Linked DNA regions of Xenopus tropicalis. The protein of the gene in region 2 interacts with the protein of the main gene of each other region in a biochemical or structural test. Links are inferred from orthologs where the notes say so. Each region holds a gene or a part of one and is shown on either strand. Other genes may lie near its edges.

The links.
Region 1: the proteins of drd2 (region 2) and ncs1 form a complex in vitro, tested with the Homo sapiens proteins (2 studies listed by BioGRID, with this or other methods). The link is inferred for Xenopus tropicalis from reciprocal best matches to the Homo sapiens genes DRD2 and NCS1.

The regions. Positions count from the first base shown.
Region 1 is NC_030684.2:13,239,198-13,243,591, forward strand, and holds the start of ncs1 (neuronal calcium sensor 1), read right to left. Parts: upstream 2,938-4,394; 5' UTR 2,591-2,937; coding exon 2,527-2,590; intron 1-2,526. UniProt on the Homo sapiens protein: Neuronal calcium sensor, regulator of G protein-coupled receptor phosphorylation in a calcium dependent manner. Directly regulates GRK1 (RHOK), but not GRK2 to GRK5. Can substitute for calmodulin. Stimulates PI4KB kinase activity.
Region 2 is NC_030683.2:86,294,963-86,299,551, reverse strand, and holds the end of drd2 (D(2) dopamine receptor), read right to left. Parts: intron 4,183-4,589; coding exon 3,843-4,182; intron 1,558-3,842; coding exon 1,364-1,557; 3' UTR 613-1,363; downstream 1-612. UniProt on the Homo sapiens protein: Dopamine receptor whose activity is mediated by G proteins which inhibit adenylyl cyclase. Positively regulates postnatal regression of retinal hyaloid vessels via suppression of VEGFR2/KDR activity, downstream of OPN5.

The DNA.
Region 1 (4,394 bases), on a different chromosome or scaffold from region 2:
CATTGGCTAATACCTTTGGCTAGTCAGGGCCGTACACCTCATTCAGAGGTCCCTATGCATTTCCCACTTACCCCTGTGCCACCCTGAGTATAGAACCTCCAGGCAGTTTACTATATGGCCCATGGGCTACCTAGGAAATGGATCCAACATGCCACCCCAGAATAAAGTACCCCAGGGTGATGCTATTTTTAAGCACAAGCTAAGTGGTTTGCCCCACTGGAGGGGTGCCCAACATTATGGCTAATTCTTTGTTAGAGAAAAAGATTTATCAGTGGTAGTTCCCCTTTAAGTCTGCGAAGGGACCAGCTATATTACATATATATATATTCCTCCTGCCCGATATAATAAATTATACATGACAGAGGCAACACTTGAAGACAATTCAGGCAATCATCCAATTGACAGAAAAGTGTTGCCCCGGGGTGTCTAGCACAGCTGCACCATGTGACTAGATTAACACACACTCTGGGTGCTGCCCCCCCCCCCCCTTCTCCAGGTGCAGGGGGTGTGAGACAGCAGAGGGGGTCATGGGTAGGGTGGGGCCCAGAAATACACTTTGCTGAGGGGCCCCTGGCTACATTTCACCCTCAGTTCCACTGCACCAAGTCCCTTTACAATAAGGGGCCCTGTATTCACTGCAGTGAAGCAGCAGCAAAGCACTCAGATCAGTGGCAGGCAAGTCCATACCATCCAGCTACGGCTGAACTACAACTCCCAGCACCCTTAGCGCTCATCTTGGCATGCCTTTTTGTTTGGTTGTCTTTCGGTCAGAAATACAACTCCCAGCATTCCAGTCAATCATATAAGCAGCTATATCTGACACTGTGTGCCAGGGGCAGGACTGGCAATACCCAGCAGCCTCTGCAAGCCAAATGCTGAAGGATAAACATACGCACGTGGTAGCTAAGGTTGGTAGCAGGTAACAGAGACTTCCAACGCCCAGCAACCATAGAGCAGAAGTATGCATTGTGCTGTAACACTCCCAGGATCAGCCTGAAATTGCTTAACTGCAGCTCCCAGATTTCCCTGCTAGCCAAGGTTACACTCACACCAGTGGCCCCACCACAGATCCCCCCCAACCTAAAGGCTAGGTAAAGGCTACAGCTGGTCCATGCAGAAATACAGCTCCCAGCATGCTCAGCTGGCAAGTATGCCTGATCATTATACCCCTGAAACTCCCAGCATGCTCAGCTGGCAAGTATGCCTGATCATTATACCCCTGAAACTCCCAGCATGCTCAGCTGGCAAGTATGCCTGATTATACCCCTGAAACTCCCAGCATGCTCAGCTGGCAAGTATGCCTGATCATTATACCCCTGAAAGTGCAGTCCCAGCATGCTCAGCTGGCATGTATGCCTGATCATTAAAACCCTGAAACTCCCAGCATGCTCAGCTGGCAAGTTTGCCTGATTATTAAACCCCTGAAACTCCCAGCATGCTCAGCTGGCAAGTATGCCTGATCATTATACCCCTGAAACTCCCAGCATGCTCAGCTGGCATGTATGCCTGATCATTATACCCCTGAAACTCCCAGCATGCTCAGCTGGCAAGTATGCCTGATCATTATACCCCTGAAACTCCCAGCATGCTCAGCTGGCATTTATGCCTGATCATCAAAACCCTGAAACTCCCAGCATGCTCAGCTGGCAAGTTTGCCTGATTATTAAAACCCTGAAACTCCCAGCATGCTCAGCTGGCAAGTATGTCTGATCATTAAATCCCTGAAACTCCCAGCATGCTCAGCTGGCATGTATGCCTGATCATCAAAACCCTGAAACTCCCAGCATGCTCAGCTGGCATGTATGCCTGATCATTAAAACCCTGAAACTCCCAGCATGCTCAGCTGGCAAGTATGTCTGATCATTAAATCCCTGAAACTCCCAGCATGCTCAGCTGGCAAGTATGTCTGATCATTATACCCCTGAAACTCCCAGCATGCTCAGCTGGCAAGTATGTCTGATCATTATACCCCTGAAACTCCCAGCATGCTCAGCTGGCAAGTATGTCTGATTATTAAATCCCTGAAACTCCCAGCATGCTCAGCTGGCATGTATGCCTGATCATTATACCCCTGAAACTCCCAGCATGCTCAGCTGGCAAGTATGCCTGATCATTAAAACCCTGAAACTCCCAGCATGCTCAGCTGGCATGTATGCCTGATCATTATACCCCTGAAACTCCCAGCATGCTCAGCTGGCAAGTATGCCTGATCATTAAAACCCTGAAACTCCCAGCATGCTCAGCTGGCAAGTATGTCTGATTATTAAATCCCTGAAACTCCCAGCATGCTCAGCTGGCATGTATGCCTGATCATTATACCCATGAAACTCCCAGCATGCTCAGCTGGCAAGTATGCCTGATCATTAAAACCCTGAAACTCCCAGCATGCTCTGCGGGCAATAATAGCACTGCAACAGCTGATGATCCACAGGCTGATTAGAGCAGCTGCTATAAGAACAATGGGAGTTACCAGAGCATTCCTGCCCCCCCAGTAGCACATTTGCCCCCCCCCAGTGCTGTACTCACAGTAGGTTTTCCTGGTCAGCTCCTCCACCACCTCAGGCTTCAGCTTGCTGTTGGATTTCCCCATTGTTCGCGAAGTCTTTCCACCTCCTCCGCCCCCTTATGGGGTTAATTCATGGAATCAACTCCCCCAGCAGCCGCCTGAGCCTTAGGACGGGGCCCCTCTCGGTGCAGGTAACCGGGGTGTATATATAGGTGTGAGAAGGGCGCACTAGGGGGAAACGGGGGGTGGAAGGGAAGGTACGGTGTGCCTGACGCGCTGCAGCTCCGCTTTCACTCTCTGTCGCCCCCCCCCCCACGGCAGAATGGATGGAGCTGGAGGCGGCAGTTGTGCCTGTGGGGTTCCCAGGCCTAGGCTGAGCCCGCTGTGTGCGAGTGAGGGGCTGTCTCAGCCGTGTTGGCTGGGGAGCTCGGTGCCTACTGCCCGCTGCCTCCCTCCGTGTGCTTCTGTGGTTGTCCCTAGTTACTTTGCGCTCCTCCTCTCCGTGCCTTCCATTCACTGGCTGCCCGGGAGCATTACAGCCTGCGCTCCGCCCCTTCTCCTCATGACACACTCACTCCCCATTAATTTATTTTCTATCCCCCCCCTCACTCCATTCTTCTCCTTTGCAGATAATGCAGCCATCCTCCTATCCTTCCCCCAAGAACCTCCCTGTTATGTCTGTATCTCTGCTGGAAATATTAATGCCCCAGGCCCCTTATTAGCCTCTGGCACATTGGCACACAGACCCTTGGCACCTCAGGGTGCCAGGCTGGCAGCCAGGGTTGGACTAGGCTGGCGGGACACCGCAGGGTCAGACTGGGCTGGTGGGGTACTGGGAAAAAACCTGACCCAGACCTGATCCATATGGTGATCCCCAGGGTTTGACTGGGCCGCCGGGTAACCGGGAAAAATCCCAGGGGGCCCCCGGCGGCCAAGACTCCACCCTCGCTGGCGCTCCCCCTGCCTGACCGGTCCTCCCCTGAAGCGTTAAACTTACATGCGCTCAGGGGAGGACTGGGGGTGGGGGGGTTAGGGTATGTGCCGGCGGGGGCACCTGCAGGGCCCCTGGGGCAAGAGGGGGGGCCCCCTCATCCCATGTCCCCTAACCTCCCCACCCCCCTGCGGGGGTTAGGGGGGGCCCCTGTGGGGGTGGGGGGGGTTAGGGGACGTGCCGGTGGGGGCACCTGCAGGGCCCCTGGGGTGGGAGCCTTGGTGGGCCCTGCACCCCCCAGTCCAAGTAAAATGCACACATGCTCAGGGGAGCGAGTTGGGTGGATAGCGGGGGCACCTTGGGTGGTAGTCCCGGTGGGCCTTGTGCCCCCCCCAGTCCAAGTATAATGTACACATGCTCGGGGGAGCGAGTTGGGTGGATAGCGGGGGCACCTTGGGTGGTACCCCCGGTGGGCCTTGTGCCCCCCCCAGTCCAAGTATAATGTACACATGCTCGGGGGAGCGAGTTGGGTGGATAGCGGGGGCACCTTGGGTGGTACCCCCGGTGGGCCTTGTGCCCCCCCCAGTCCAAGTATAATGTACACATGCTCGGGGAGCGAGTTGGGCGGATAGCAGGGGCACCTTGGGCGGTAGTCCCGGTGGGCCTTGTGCCCCCCAGTCCAAGTATAATGTACACATGCTCGGGGAGCGAGTTGGGCGGATAGCAGGGGCACCTTGGGCGGTAGTCCCGGTGGGCCTTGTGCCCCCCAGTCCAAGTATAATGTACACATGCTCGGGGGAGCGAGTTGGGCAGATAGCGGGGGCACCTTGGGTGGTAGTCCCGGTGGGCCTTGTGCCCCCCAGTCCAAGTATAATGTACACATGCTCGGGGGAGCGAGTTGGGCGGATAGTGGGGGCACCTTGGGTGGTAGTCCCGGTGGGCCTGGTGCCCCCCAGT
Region 2 (4,589 bases):
CCACGTTCACCCATTACTTTTGATGAACTCGTTGATTCAGTAACCCATTAATTTATACATACATATAAATATATATGATTTGGTAAGCAAAAATCCATGTAAATGTGTGCAACCCACACACCAGTATAGGTCTGGAGTCCTTTGGAAGCAGCTTTGGAAGGGGCTATATGTTGCCTTTTTATCTATGTAGTACATACACCTGGGGCTATGGGAATTTGGGCTATCTGGTTTTTGGATCATTTCAGGCTTCCATAACTTTACTGAGAATTATTTGATTGAGAAAAATGTGGAGTAAATAGTGGCAAGACTGGCAAACACACTGCGGAAGTGATGTCACACGGCACAGGAAGGGATGTCACGTACACGCTATGCGTGATTTCACTTTTGCAACATAGGCGCATATTTATTTCCAGTGCCTAGGGTGGCACCAAACCTAAATACAGCCCTGTCTGTAGCATTTGAAATTGAAAAGTATAGTTTTAAAATAAATAGGCAACAACTTCAACTTGATGTAGAAAACCTCTGTGATATACTGCACTGGTGCTATGGTTAACATCTCAGCGATATTGTATCTTACTGTACCATACATGTAAAAGTAGGACAAAGAAGAAATGATTGTAAAAGGTGTTTAGTATTAAATCCCAACGGTATAGATATGGTGTGACAATGGTAGTCCTTTAATGTAACACACACCATGCAGTACAGATTTTATTTTTCTATATAATATATATATATATATACTTTTTTGCTTGGGCTTCTTTCAAATTATTCTTGCTATATTTACACTTGTAAGCATAAGGCTGCCTCAACATTGTTGTCTTGTGTTGATTTTTACTCTTTTGGGTCAAATGATTAAGAAAGCTTACGTTAACATCACTTCCATAGAAACCCAAGGCACACAACCAGAAGTGTGTAGGGTGTTCAGTTTCCAGAAAAATATATAGTTTCACTGGTATTCACAGTGTTGTCCCTGCAAATCGTAACTTTTCTGCTATGAAAAAGAGGAATAGCAAAAAATAGCAACGTCTTTGGTGAGACTGCAGTGACATACAGTGTCCTGAAACCATTAAGTAAGGTCATTATTGATGGCTGAATTCAGTTGAAATTGATTTTCTTCTTAATGTTGCTTGTTGGTAAGAACTCTTATCCCCCATTCCAAAACAATTGCTTAAAATGCAGTACTATGTTTTAGTTACATCAGCTTGACCCTTTTACAGACCTCTCCACATAACAGCATTCAGCTGCTATAATTGCTCACAAAGCACCATTTTCACCAGTCCAAGGGAACCCAGGACGTGCTTGTTTCTTCTGTGTCTTGTATCTTCTTGTTATTGATTACTGCATTATTCTTCTATCTTGTCTTTTAACAATGAAGTATTTTAATGAAGGCCTTTCTGAACTCCACATTAAATGTAGTATAGATAATTGGATTGACAGCACTGTTCACATAACCAAGCCAAGTGAAGGCGCTGTACAAGGCTTGTGGAATGTTACAATTGCAATGCATATTTAGTATGTGAATTATGAAGAAAGGAAGCCAGCAAATAATGAAAACACCTGCAAGACAAAATAATAATTATAACTATAATAGTTACAATACAGATACCAAAGTTTAACTCAAAAGAGCTGATTTGTAATTGGTTGTTCTAATAAGTACCACTGAAATCTCATTAGTGCCGCTGTTGTTAAATCACTGGGGTAGTTAGTAAAATGTATGCTGAGATTTTGCATCTTTACATATTGAACAACAAAGCATTTTATGATGCATGGGCAGGTCTAGTCCTATAAGTTAGGGAAAATTGGTAACATAAGTAGAAAGGCACAATTGACGGTAAAGGCAATTAAACATGAATACATTTGGAAAAACCCATGCAGCTTATGACCATAAACATGTAATGTTGTTTACCCACTCCTCCTAGACATTTTCTACTCAGCTGGTTTCTACTCATGGTTTAAATCCGATCATTCTAATTGTTCCTTTAGGCTAATGTCCCATGGAGCGAGTTTGTCACCTGTGATCTCTGCTACCGCAGGCACCTAACCACTCCAAAATCTAGGCAACAATAGGAGTCACATCAAAGTCTGGCTGCAGGAGTAAATTTCACGAAAACTCGATCTGTGGGACAATAGCCTTAAAGTTGCTCTCTCCAACTTTACTTTCACATGATTACCTGTCTTTGTTGGAGTTTCTTAAGGCTGTTTCTTAGGCCTCTGATTTTTTCACTTCTCTAGAAAACTTAGTCATTTGGACTTTAGTATCACCTTTATGCTGATGACACCCAAATCTACCTGTAAACTCCTGATTTGTCTCCTTCTGTCTTTTCTCAAGATACAGAATGCCTTTTTGCTATCTCTATCTCAATGTGACAGTGTCAATTGCTATGGAGTCTTATTATTTTTCCTCCAACATATTCCCCTGTACCACAACATTGCTTGCATGCAACCTTACCTCAGCTCAGATACAACTAAACACTTCTTATTATTTCCTACCTTGACTACTGCTACTCTTCCTAGACATCATTTCTTACTATTTCTTACTCCTTGCAGGCATTCCAATATTGTGTTTCACAACTCCAACCTGATCTTAAACCTGCTGCTAGATTAATTTATCTATCACAACTTCACATCTGCTGCTGTATATTTATCGGGCTTCTGCCTGTCCCTGGAATCCTCTGTCTGTTTTTAGATTCTCCCCATCCTTCCAAACTTTCAAAAACTTCAAAAGACCCACCAATTTAAAGACGCATATTCAATGCATCCTGACTGATAAGACATCAACTTATCATAATTCACCTATTATTTTTATCTTCTTTATTTTTCAAATGTACCCAATTTAGACTGTGAGTAGGGGCCTCCTGTGCTTTGTGCTCCTTTGTGCTCTGTAACTCTAGTTATATTTTTAACTATTCACAACTGTCTGTTAGAAAGGAATACGTAGGGGCACATTTACTATGGGTCGAATCCGAGTCCGAATTGGAAAAATCCGATTTGAAAACGAACATTTTGCGACTTTTTCGTATTTTTTGCGATTTTTTCGGCGCCTTTACGACCTTTTGGAAATTATCGCGACTTTTTCGTTACCAATACGATTTGCGCGAAAAAACGCGACTTTTTCGTAGACATTCCGAAAGTTGCGATTTTTTCGTAGCGTTAAAACTTGCGTGAAAAGTTGCGCTTTTTTCGTAGCGTTAAAACTTAAAAGGCGCGACGTTTCGCGCAAGTTTTAACACTATGAAAAAATCGCAACTTTTTGCGCAAGTTTTAACGCTACGAAAAAATCGCAACTTTCGGAATGGCTACGAAAAACTCGCGTTTTTTCGCAAAAATCGTATTGGTAACGAAAAAGTCGCGTCAATTTTCCGAAAAAATCGCAAAATACCGATCATTACGAAAAAAACGCAATCGGACGCATTCGGCCCGTTCGTGGGTTAGTAAATGTGCCCCAAAGTGTTGTGTAACTTTCTGGTGCTATATAAATAAATGATATTGATAATTTTATAGCAAAGCTGATCAGAATCTATTAAATCCAAAACAGATTTTGACCACATGTCATAATGTGAAAAATATGTGAATAAGTAATAATATGGGGAGATGTTTGGCAAGTTTGATCAAACCAAACATATAGATGAACAATATAAGTTTAAAAAATGATCTGTCATAGTTGTACTTATGTTATGAAGCATGAGATATAAAGATAAAAGAGCAGATATGATGTTTAATTAGGCACAATTTGGTACAAATTAAAACATATTAAAATTAAGTTTTAATTATCCTTTCAGAGGAACTTCATGCAATTATTGTTTAAATATGACTTTAATTTTCACAATAAAGTGGATACCTACCCAATACAATGGCTAACATTTGTGTAGCTTTTTTTTCCTTATGTTGCGAAAGCTTTCTCTTGCTCATTGTTTTAATGGAGGTCCGTGTTTTCCCATTAGGCATTGTCTGAATTTCAAAAACTTTGGCAGGCTTTGTACTGTCTTTTGGATGTCCATTCTTTTCAGCTTTGTAAGGACTATCCACCGGTGAAGGTAGGTTGGCATTGTTGCACTGGTTTGATGTGGCTGGCACAGCAAGTTGGTGATGATTAGGAGAAGCAGACTTGTGTTTGGTTTTTTCTGGTGGAGATGTGCTTGACATCATCTCCACGTCCATATCCTCTGGGTGGTTGCCAGCCTCCTGGACAAGGATCAAATATTCAATAACAAAGATAAATAAATAACTAGTTCATATTACAGGTTATAGTATGACCCTACCATAATATATACATGATAATAAAAATTGATGATCACGGATTAATATTCATATTAAGTGGAAAGTTTTCAGGGACAAGTTTACAACATTTTTATTCTGGATTTATCAATATATTAATGGTGCAGTAAACCCTCTTGTTCAACATGAGTACAATGAATGGGACTTGGGCTCTATATGCTTTTTGTTTATTGTATTAAACAGGAACAATCTATGGTTTTTGTTTATTCTTGAATTAAACAGGGCTAAAAACTAATTTTCATTATTAAAACAATAAGCAGAAAGTATGGTTCATATAAGCCAATATGTTGAACTAAAGCTGACCAAGGGGTTAT